2 linked regions of the Tribolium castaneum genome follow. The protein of the gene in region 2 purifies or fractionates together with the protein of the main gene of each other region. This does not show direct contact. Links are inferred from orthologs where the notes say so. Each region holds a gene or a part of one and is shown on either strand. Other genes may lie near its edges. The genes, in order: park and Marf.

What was found.
Region 1: the proteins of Marf (region 2) and park purify together in Drosophila melanogaster (affinity purification with western blotting; 3 studies listed by BioGRID). This does not show direct contact. The link is inferred for Tribolium castaneum from reciprocal best matches to the Drosophila melanogaster genes Marf and park.

What each region holds. Positions count from the first base shown.
Region 1 is NC_087398.1:11,672,160-11,676,686, forward strand, and holds the start of park (E3 ubiquitin-protein ligase parkin), read right to left. Parts: upstream 2,976-4,527; coding exon 2,715-2,975; intron 2,666-2,714; coding exon 2,300-2,665; intron 30-2,299; coding exon 1-29. Other genes in the region: protein FAM32A, read left to right, coding at 3,114-3,323, 3,378-3,500; alpha-1,3/1,6-mannosyltransferase ALG2, read right to left, coding at 3,510-4,527. UniProt on the Drosophila melanogaster protein: E3 ubiquitin-protein ligase which accepts ubiquitin from E2 ubiquitin-conjugating enzymes in the form of a thioester and then directly transfers the ubiquitin to targeted substrates, such as Paris, Marf, Opa1, Miro, pnut, Septin1, Tom20 and porin.
Region 2 is NC_087395.1:26,386,510-26,390,943, reverse strand, and holds the start of Marf (transmembrane GTPase Marf), read right to left. Parts: upstream 2,917-4,434; 5' UTR 2,779-2,916; intron 2,708-2,778; exon of another isoform or gene 2,587-2,707; intron 2,508-2,586; exon of another isoform or gene 2,476-2,507; intron 2,384-2,475; 5' UTR 2,341-2,383; coding exon 2,130-2,340; intron 2,086-2,129; coding exon 1,865-2,085; intron 1,782-1,864; coding exon 1,482-1,781; intron 1,427-1,481; coding exon 1,319-1,426; intron 1,166-1,318; coding exon 1,145-1,165; intron 1,075-1,144; coding exon 788-1,074; intron 515-787; coding exon 1-514. Other genes in the region: endos (alpha-endosulfine), read left to right, coding at 3,198-3,548; zinc finger protein OZF, read left to right, coding at 3,960-4,434. UniProt on the Drosophila melanogaster protein: Mitochondrial outer membrane GTPase that mediates mitochondrial clustering and fusion.

The sequences.
Region 1 (4,527 bases), on a different chromosome or scaffold from region 2:
GCGAAAGTCGGTTCTTTGTTGTTCAGAACCTGCAGGAATTATTAATTAAAAATTTTAATTTAATAGATTTTCGAAATAATAGATTTTCCAGGGTATAGGTAGCGGTTTTATCAAATTTGAATTCAAAACATGTGTTAAAAAAATATTTTTATTTAACGTCGTTTTTACCGTGTTCATCATAGTCGTTCTTAATTTGTGTTTTAAGAGCAAGCTAAACTAAAATATTTCTAGCGAAGGTCGTTAAATCGATCAAGTATTTTCTGTTACCAAACGAAACTGTCTATCTTTGCTTTTGTACGCATCTCACGCACAAACAAAATATTATTGTAGCGCTTTAGTAGATTCCCGTTGAATACATTTTTATCTCAAAAAAGGTAATATTAAAAGAATTAAAAATTAAATTTACCTACTTATGTGCTACCTACTAGTAATTTCTATTGACACTTAATTAAAAGAAATGATTTAAGACAGGTACAAAGATAGAAAAAAAAGCAGGTAAAAAAGGAGAATTGAAAAGTTATGGTAATCCAATTGTCTTTGTTTATAATTTATTATTAATATTGTAATCTAATAAAAAATCTAAACTATTATTCTTGTGTGTCGTTTTGATTATGGAGCGATTCTTACTTATTTTTACATAATTTTCTCTTCCTTATACAGCGTTCAAAATGATGTTGCCAAACTTTACGGTGTTATAGAGGTCACTAAGATAGAAATGTTTTGCTGATAAACGCTGATAAATGAGCCGTTTTGCCTCTAGAGTCATGTCTTTGTCCAGAAATGATTACATTCAAAAATTCCCATAAAACTTACGTTTCATAACGTTATTTCAATAAATTGTCAAAATACCACTGCCTTATTTCATGTCAGTTTGCTCTACTTGCGTTAATGTTTGATAAAAAAGTATTTTAAACATGTATACATTTGTCAGAAAATAACAACAAACATCTATTTTTATTTTTTTTGAATATTGATTAATTTTTCCGGCGCATCCACCATTTTTTTAATTTGCAGTTTGTTAATAGTAAATTGTTTTACACTTGTTTTTCTTATATTTTCTGTACACTTGTACATTTTTGACTAAAGTTATTCAAAGTAGTATTTGGAAATGTTTAATTTGATAATTTCTCCCGGCGCATCCACCATTTTTAAAACGCTGTCTTGTTCACTTTAAGACACCAACTGGTGTCAAAAGGCGGTGGTGTGTGCATGTGTTGTTGTCATTAAGTCATTGTTAATTCCATCTTTTAATGTTTACTTCCAAGAATTTGAACGAGTAAAAAGCCTGATGATGTTTATTACATTAACTTTTAACTAAACTTTTTAAGGAACTTGGTCTTATCGTCGTGAATTTTTTTAAAATCAATCAGTCAAGGACGTTTAAAAAATTTTTATTATAACAATTTTTACACAATACTAGAGATTTCATCATTTCAATTTGAAACAGTTGTAAAATTTGGATTTTTTCAAGTCACAAGACATTCTACTTTGAAGCAGATTTTTTTTAAATAATTATTTCTTTTCAGTCCTATAACTCGCTTACGGGTAGTCCTATAACAAAAGTGCATAGGACCAATTTTTGTAGGAAATTTCATCAGCTTTAATTTTTGTAAGAAGGTGAAAACCGACAATGATTGTTTCCGTGGTATAAGAAATAAAACGAAAAATGACACACTTAACCCTCTCCCCCATCTCGAGCTCAGCCTCCATCCTCTGGGATTTTTAATATCTGTCTATCTAAAGAACGCGTTTAAAAAATTCCAACTCACTAGGAATTTTTGCCACCAACCGCCCAATTCTTGTCTGGTCTAACTTGACTGGGCTAGATACCTGATTTATAGCTGGAACACATTTTCTAAAAATGTTATAGAGACCCTCAGTAGTAACCCAAATTTCAAATTTAGATTTACATTCAATAAATTTGGTAACTGTAGAAAATTTTAACTTTATGATAGAAAAAGAAATTTAAAAAAGTATCTGAAAATATTTTGGCGTATATTGTTTTTAATTGTCTTCAGCGACTTTTAGTTTTTAAAATTAACATTGATTTCCCTGTACCAGAATTTCGGTTTAGCTCGCTCTTATGGTGTTAATGAATCTGCTGCTTCTAGTTAGGTGAGCGGACATTACGATTGCAAACATTTTAAAAATTTTCGCAATGCTCCTTAGTAAGCGTAAATATTTTTAACTTTAAATATTTTGACTATAAACATTTTAAAGGAAAATTAAATTTTGTCCAGTACTATTTTTAGTGTGGAGTGTTTTTGACTAATTTCAATTAAATAATTAAAAAACGTACGTTGGCGCACAATTCGGGGCTATTCTCACAAAGGCCGGTTATCTGCTTTGGCTGCAGCACATCATTCCAGTTTTGGGGGTCTGAGTGCACCGTGAAAGCCCCCGATTTGCAAAAGTGGCACCGAACTCGCAATTTCCCATTTTTGAGGGCTTTACACGTGGGGCAATAGACAAAAAAGTGGACTTTGCGTTGCTCGGTGGGCCCTTCCTCGTAATCATCGTTTGAAAAACTCAAATCTGATAAGGTCTCACACAGAGGTTTGCCCTCGTCACTTTCCTCAATTACGGCATTGTTTAAAGTGGGAGGGTTGGGCTTTTTGGTGATTTTGATAGCGTGGAGGGTGCTTTGTTGGCCCAAATCACATTCCTAGAATGACTAACTGGTTACGACTAGTGGTATTGAGGGCAAAACTCACAGAAATACTAATGTTGTCTCCCAGCTCTTTTCCAGCGAAAATAATCTTTACCTCGCCTGGTTTCAGTCCCAATTGGGGCGCAACGAACTCTTTCACCTCTTTTATGTCCCAGGTGGGGTCCAAATCGACCGAAAGCGTATTCCCTGTGTTGGTTTTTATGTAAATACTCAAATTATTGCTCAGCGTTTTTCTACTAAATGACAGAAATTGTAACATCTTATGCAACAAATCTTTAATTACGTTGATAATAAAACTCATCATCTGTGGTAACCGCGGCCGGGCTTATTTTTAGAAAAAAACATTTTTTGTGAGGAAATTTCATAACCTCATTCTTGGGGATTGTCGATCCGTTACGTTGGTTGTTGTGTGAAAAATTCCAGAAACGTCAAAACAAACAAGATGGGGCAAAGTGACGACCCATACGCACAAGTTTGCAAGGGAAAATTGCAATTAAAAGGTGATAACAGCATTAAAAAGAAAAAGAAGAAGAAAGATAAGAAGTTGTTAGAGCAAGTGAGCAAAATTGTCGAAAGTGAGACACCGGAATCAAAGCCTGCGAGGCAAAAAACAAAAGCCGAACTTGCGTTCTTAAAACAGCAAGAAAAAATGGTAAATAAATCACATTTCGTGTTAAATTTGTTGCCTGATTGTTACAATTTGCAGCAAACTCAACGCATCTTGGAAAAAGCGTCAATGACACACAAAGAAAGAGTAGAAAAATTCAACCAACACTTGGACGGGCTCACGGAACACTTTGACATACCTAAGGTCTCTTGGACTAAGTAAAATATTTATTTAAATAAACTTCTTATTTACACTAGTGTGATCAAGGATTTTCTTCAAATTCCTTGCAAAACTCTCATTTGAGAATTTCTCCTGCAACACTTTGCGCCCCTTGAGCCCCATTGCCTTGTTATCCGACTTGAATATCCTGTACATGAATTGCGCTAAACTGTCGGGGGTCGGTTCGCATAAATAGCCCGTGTTTCCGTGGTCGACTGTCTCTCGGGGGCCCCCACTGTTGCACGCAATGACGGGCTTAGCCACCGTCATTGCCTCGAGGGGGACAATGCCGAAGTGCTCCTTCACGGGCGTGTAAACGAGGCAGTCACACGCCATCAGAAGTTCCGTCTTGACGTCATCGGGGGGCGACTTGAGGAAAATAATCTTGTCTTGGAGCCCCTTCTCAGCGACGAGTTTCTCCAAGTCGGTGAAATAACTGGCGTTTATGGACGATTGGGGGTCGTAGCCCCCGGCCATAACCAAGAAAATGCCTTTACGTTCATTTTCCGAGGTGATTCTTTGCAAAATTTCCATCGCATTGATGGCCAAGTCCAGTTTCTTGGCGGGATGGAAGCGGTTGATGGAGAGGAAGACACAGGCGGCGTTTTGGGGTATTTCTGGGATTATTTGGTGGATTGGTCTGGGGTTTTTGGTGTTTTTGACGGCTTCTAAGAACGAGGAGGCCACTGTGGGGTACACCACTTGTACAGTCTTTGTGATTTGGGGGAAAGTCTCCCGGAAGACCGAAGCCGTGTACTCACTATTCACTAGAATGATATCAGCCCGAGCTGTGGACTTTAACTCCAACCAGTTTATGGGCTTCCTGTAGAAATTTTTTAAGGCCCCCCCTGGCGCACTGGCGAGCAAGTCCGGGTGGTGACAATAATAGATAACTTTTTCGCCGAATAATTTCAAAATTGGCACAGCCATAGGGATTAAGTCCACAAAGTACACGTCAGGCTTTTGAGTGGTACGGTAGAAAATTGCGTAGACTAGTGTTAAATAAATCATTCTGATGTAAGCGCACAGT
Region 2 (4,434 bases):
ATCTTCGGTAAAATCAGCGCATAAATTATCGCAATTCAACCGATACAAAATCTCAAACGGTTGCCGACGCGGTAAAATAAAATTAGACGCCGCTTTGTGATTTGCTGGTAGTAATTTTTCCATACGTTCGGTCATTTCGCGTTGACTCGCTTCCATGTTCATTGCTAAAGCTGTTGAAAGTCGGGCTTTTAAATTTGAACCAAGACCGGTTTCGACGTGCAAATGCAATTCTTTTTTGTAAACGTTCAAAACTAAAGGTTCAGGATGGAAGGGGAGATTAAATTCGTCAACAAGTGTACTCAAACGACGGATTTCCTCGTTTAAAGCTTTGGAAACGCGCTGTTCGACGTCTTCGACCATTTGGTGGATTTTTTGCTTCATTTCTTGTGTTATTATAATTAGTTGCTCTTCAGTGTAGTTGATTTTGTCGTGTACTTCTTTCTTTTGACGCAATTTCTCGTCTTTTAGTTTTTGCGCGTCGTTGTAAATATCGTCTAAAACCTCGCGAAGTTCGCTGAAAAAAATTACTTAATCACTTTTAAATAAGGCGAACAAAAAATTGCAGGCAGATAAATTAATTCTCAGTGGCAAGAGATTAAAATAATGTAAAAATTGTATCATGAACTATACAAAGTGTGTCAGTTTGGTATTGTAACTCTATAGTTACAGGGTTGCTAAAAAGGCTCGCAGCGCCCTAATTTTTATTCTGCCATCTAACTTTTTTGGGTACGATTTTGCATCTCGCGTCGCCTCCTAACCTATAGTACTCCCTAGACTCTGTACTCACTTTGCTATGAATTTTCCGCGTTGTGAATGTTGTTCGAATTTGGTTTTGACGGCCGATTTCGAAATACATTCTTCGAATTTTCGTTCAAAATCCTGAAATTCGAAATAACGCGTCTGGAAACCTTCAGTTAGCGGTGTTGAAACGGTTTGTCCTTGTTCAGCTAATCGTGCTTGTAGTACTTCTTTGGCCGAAATAAAGAAAATTCGTTCTTCGGCCTCTTTCGGTGTACAAACTTTTAGTTCTTTGACAAGAAAATCGACGGCACGTTCTTGGTGTTGACGTCTGACCTGTAGAAAAAATTATTAATTTAATAGAAGATTTAAATTCTAAAGTGTCACTGTGAATCTAATAACTCACCTCTTCCTGTTCATTGCAATGCTTAAATGTGAGAAAATTTGATGTAATTATGGACAAAAAAAATCAATAAACTTATCAAGAAAAAAGCGACAAAACAAGGAGAATGATAACAAAAATTATTAAGCAATGCAATGCAAACAAAAATCGAGGTGTTTGTGAATTTTCAACACCCACCTGATCCAAAAATTCCGGTTCGGTGGCAGAAGCGTCCCATCGATTATTCAAAATGAAAATGTTTGGTTTTGAGAGTCGTGTCGAGACTTTATGGAAGAAATTTTTTTCCTATTACACATTCAATTAACGAAAAGATATTCAAAAAAATTTGGTTATTTGTTACCGTAACCATAAGTGTAGATTCAGCATTCGCTACTAAAACAAAAACATCAGCATCTAAACAATGCTTGTCGATCCATTCGTCTAAATTCGGCGTAACGTCAACTCCTGGCGAATCAACGAACACGACATCGTCTCGTAACAAAAGACAGCGATTTCGCGGCCAATAAACGCGCACCATTTGCGATTCGTTCAATTTTTCTTTGCACAAAGCGTGCGCTAATTGGCCAACAGATTCCACAGCACAGTGTTCAGTGGAACCTTCAAGAACCAAGTAAGGTTCATCGGACGGTGAACCTTCAACCTGTCAAAAAAAATAGTAATTCAAGAAAAAAAATTGATTTAAAATTTTTAAAATTCTAGCTTTAGACGCAAAAATAACTTTACCTGTAGGAAACAATTAGTCGTGTGACCAATTCCGCTGGGAAGGATTTTATCGCGCAGCATTGCATTAATAACTGAGCTTTTCCCGTTGGAAGTGCGTCCAAAAAACGCAACTTTCATGTGGTCACGACTCAAGACATCGCGAATTCCGTGCACTTTACTCACAAAGTCTTCAGTTTTCTTAACCCTTTCTTGGTTAACAATTTCTTGCAGTTTCTCGATTTCTGCAACTTGCGATCATTTCAAGGTCGCCAAATTTTCAACTCACCGTGCATATACTCGACTGCGTCTTTAACATAGTCTTCAATCTCGCCGAAAATATCGTTGATTTTCTTCTTGGCTTTGACAAAAATCTGCAAAGGGGAGTTGTCAGGGGGCTGTCGGGCGCTTCTAGGGTCAACCATGCTCGCAGGAATGGCTTTATTGTGGGGGCCATCGCCCGCCATCAACGAAATTGTGCGGTTTATATAAGCGGCCATCAAACAAGGGGGTGCCAATCTACCATGCGTCTAGCAGCAGCAACTGAAACAAAACATTACAACTTAGAAACATTTATTCTGTGGATAAAAAGCGACATGCGACATGTGATTGACATAAATTATTGTGTGAAAAACCTGCTCGTTTGTGGGCATCTTGACGTCCGGGGTAATCTAACCCCAACTTACAATCCTCGAAAAATTAAGGCGAATTATCGATATGTGTACCAAAACGGGGCAAATACGTACCTAAGGCGCATTAAACGTGTATAAATACGCTATTTATAGCCCAAAAAATAAATAAATCGGTATAAATATATTTATAGGCGACTTGACACCAAAACTGTCAAACTATTCAATTGTTTCGTATCTAGAGACAAGATTTGAAAAAACGACAAGTTCATACCGACAATTGTAATCCCTTTGTATGATTTAACTTACATTTTGTGTTATTTGATTACGTAATTATTATTTTTGTGAGGCGATTCCTCCAAAGCACGAGTTTTTAATTTTTGACGTTGACGTTTGTTTGGGAACTTTTTAATGCGGTTGGTGACGCGATTGTGTTAATAAAAAAAATATTTTTGGACTACTAGTTCAAACTCCAGATTCTAGAATCCCAAAAACTACAATACCAATAAATTGCCGACTCTTATCAATAATTTCCTAATTGTAATCGCAATTAATTCCCATAAATTGGTGTAGAATTTGAATCTCGTTTTTATCACGTTGGTAGTCATTAGCAACTGTCAGACTGTCACCGCTTATTGTTGTCCAACTGTCATTTCGATTTCTCTTGTTACAATTTTGAGGTAATTGAGTTAATTCCCTGTTGATTCGATCAACGCTTGCGTTTAGAAATGAGCGATCAAGATCAAGAGTCAGAGACTCCCCCCGAGATGAGCCCCCACGATGTGGAGAAAATGGAAGAGGCGAAGCTCAAAGCCAAGTACGGGGGGTCGTCAGGCGCCCCCAACCGACTCATGGGGGGCCATTCGGCCTTCCTGCAGAAGCGCCTGGCCAAAGGGCAGAAGTTTTTCGATTCGGGCGATTACCAAATGGCCAAGCAGAAGCTAGGCGGTGTCAATAAGGTCAAGACTGTCCCTGTGCCAGGATTCACCACTGGCGAGGCAATCCCTACACCTGAGACCGTACCCGCGAGAAAAACGTCCATCATACAGCCGTCAAAATTCACATCGAATGTCAGCTAGTTTTTTTAAGTAGCGTTTAAGTGTAGTTGTTGGTTCCTTACTAATTTATTTTGTTTATTCCACCACTTTTTACTAAATGGATACAGATATTGGCATTTTTCAAGTACTCAATAAAATTTTCTTTCCAATGTTTGGACGTGTTTAAATTGGGCGCCAAAAAAATAAAATTCCCCAGTTTCGTGACAAGTTGTCACGGGAAGTGAGGTTACGTGATTATTTTATTTATCAAAAAAATTCAATTTCCCAGCTTATACCTACGTTAGGTGTATTAAAACTAGAAAAAGTGGAGTTGGTGTTTGAATTAAAGTGATTATCTCGTGTTATTTAACACCTTTTCATTGATAAAATCGGTGTAAGATTAGTGGTCATAAAAATGGTTTTCTGTTAATTATTCGGCAAGAACCACAAAAAATGAGTTGTGAATACTTTTCCAAAGCCATAACTGTGAGTGACTTTGACCGAATCTGCCGCACGTGTCTCGGGGACAATAAAACAAGGCCCATCATGGACACAATAATTGGGGACTTTAAAGCAGTTGAATTACTGGAGTCTTGCGTAACTTTACAAGTGACAAAAAATGATTCGTTGCCTCAGAACATATGTGAATCATGCCTGAACGAACTTTACCGTTTTCACGAGTTTAAAAAACAGTGTCAGGATAACGAAGCTGTCTTAAAATTATTGCTTGAACAGCCACAATCCGAGCAAAAACTAGGTGAAGACGAAGAATTTTGCAATATAACGCTAATTGAGGAGGAAGAAGTTGAAAAAAACGAAACTTCCGAAGAAAAACCCAAGTCTAAGACTGATCCAAAAACCCACAAGTGTGAAATCTGCGATAAGGTCTTCACTCGCAGCAAGCTCACGCAACACATGCGCACCCACA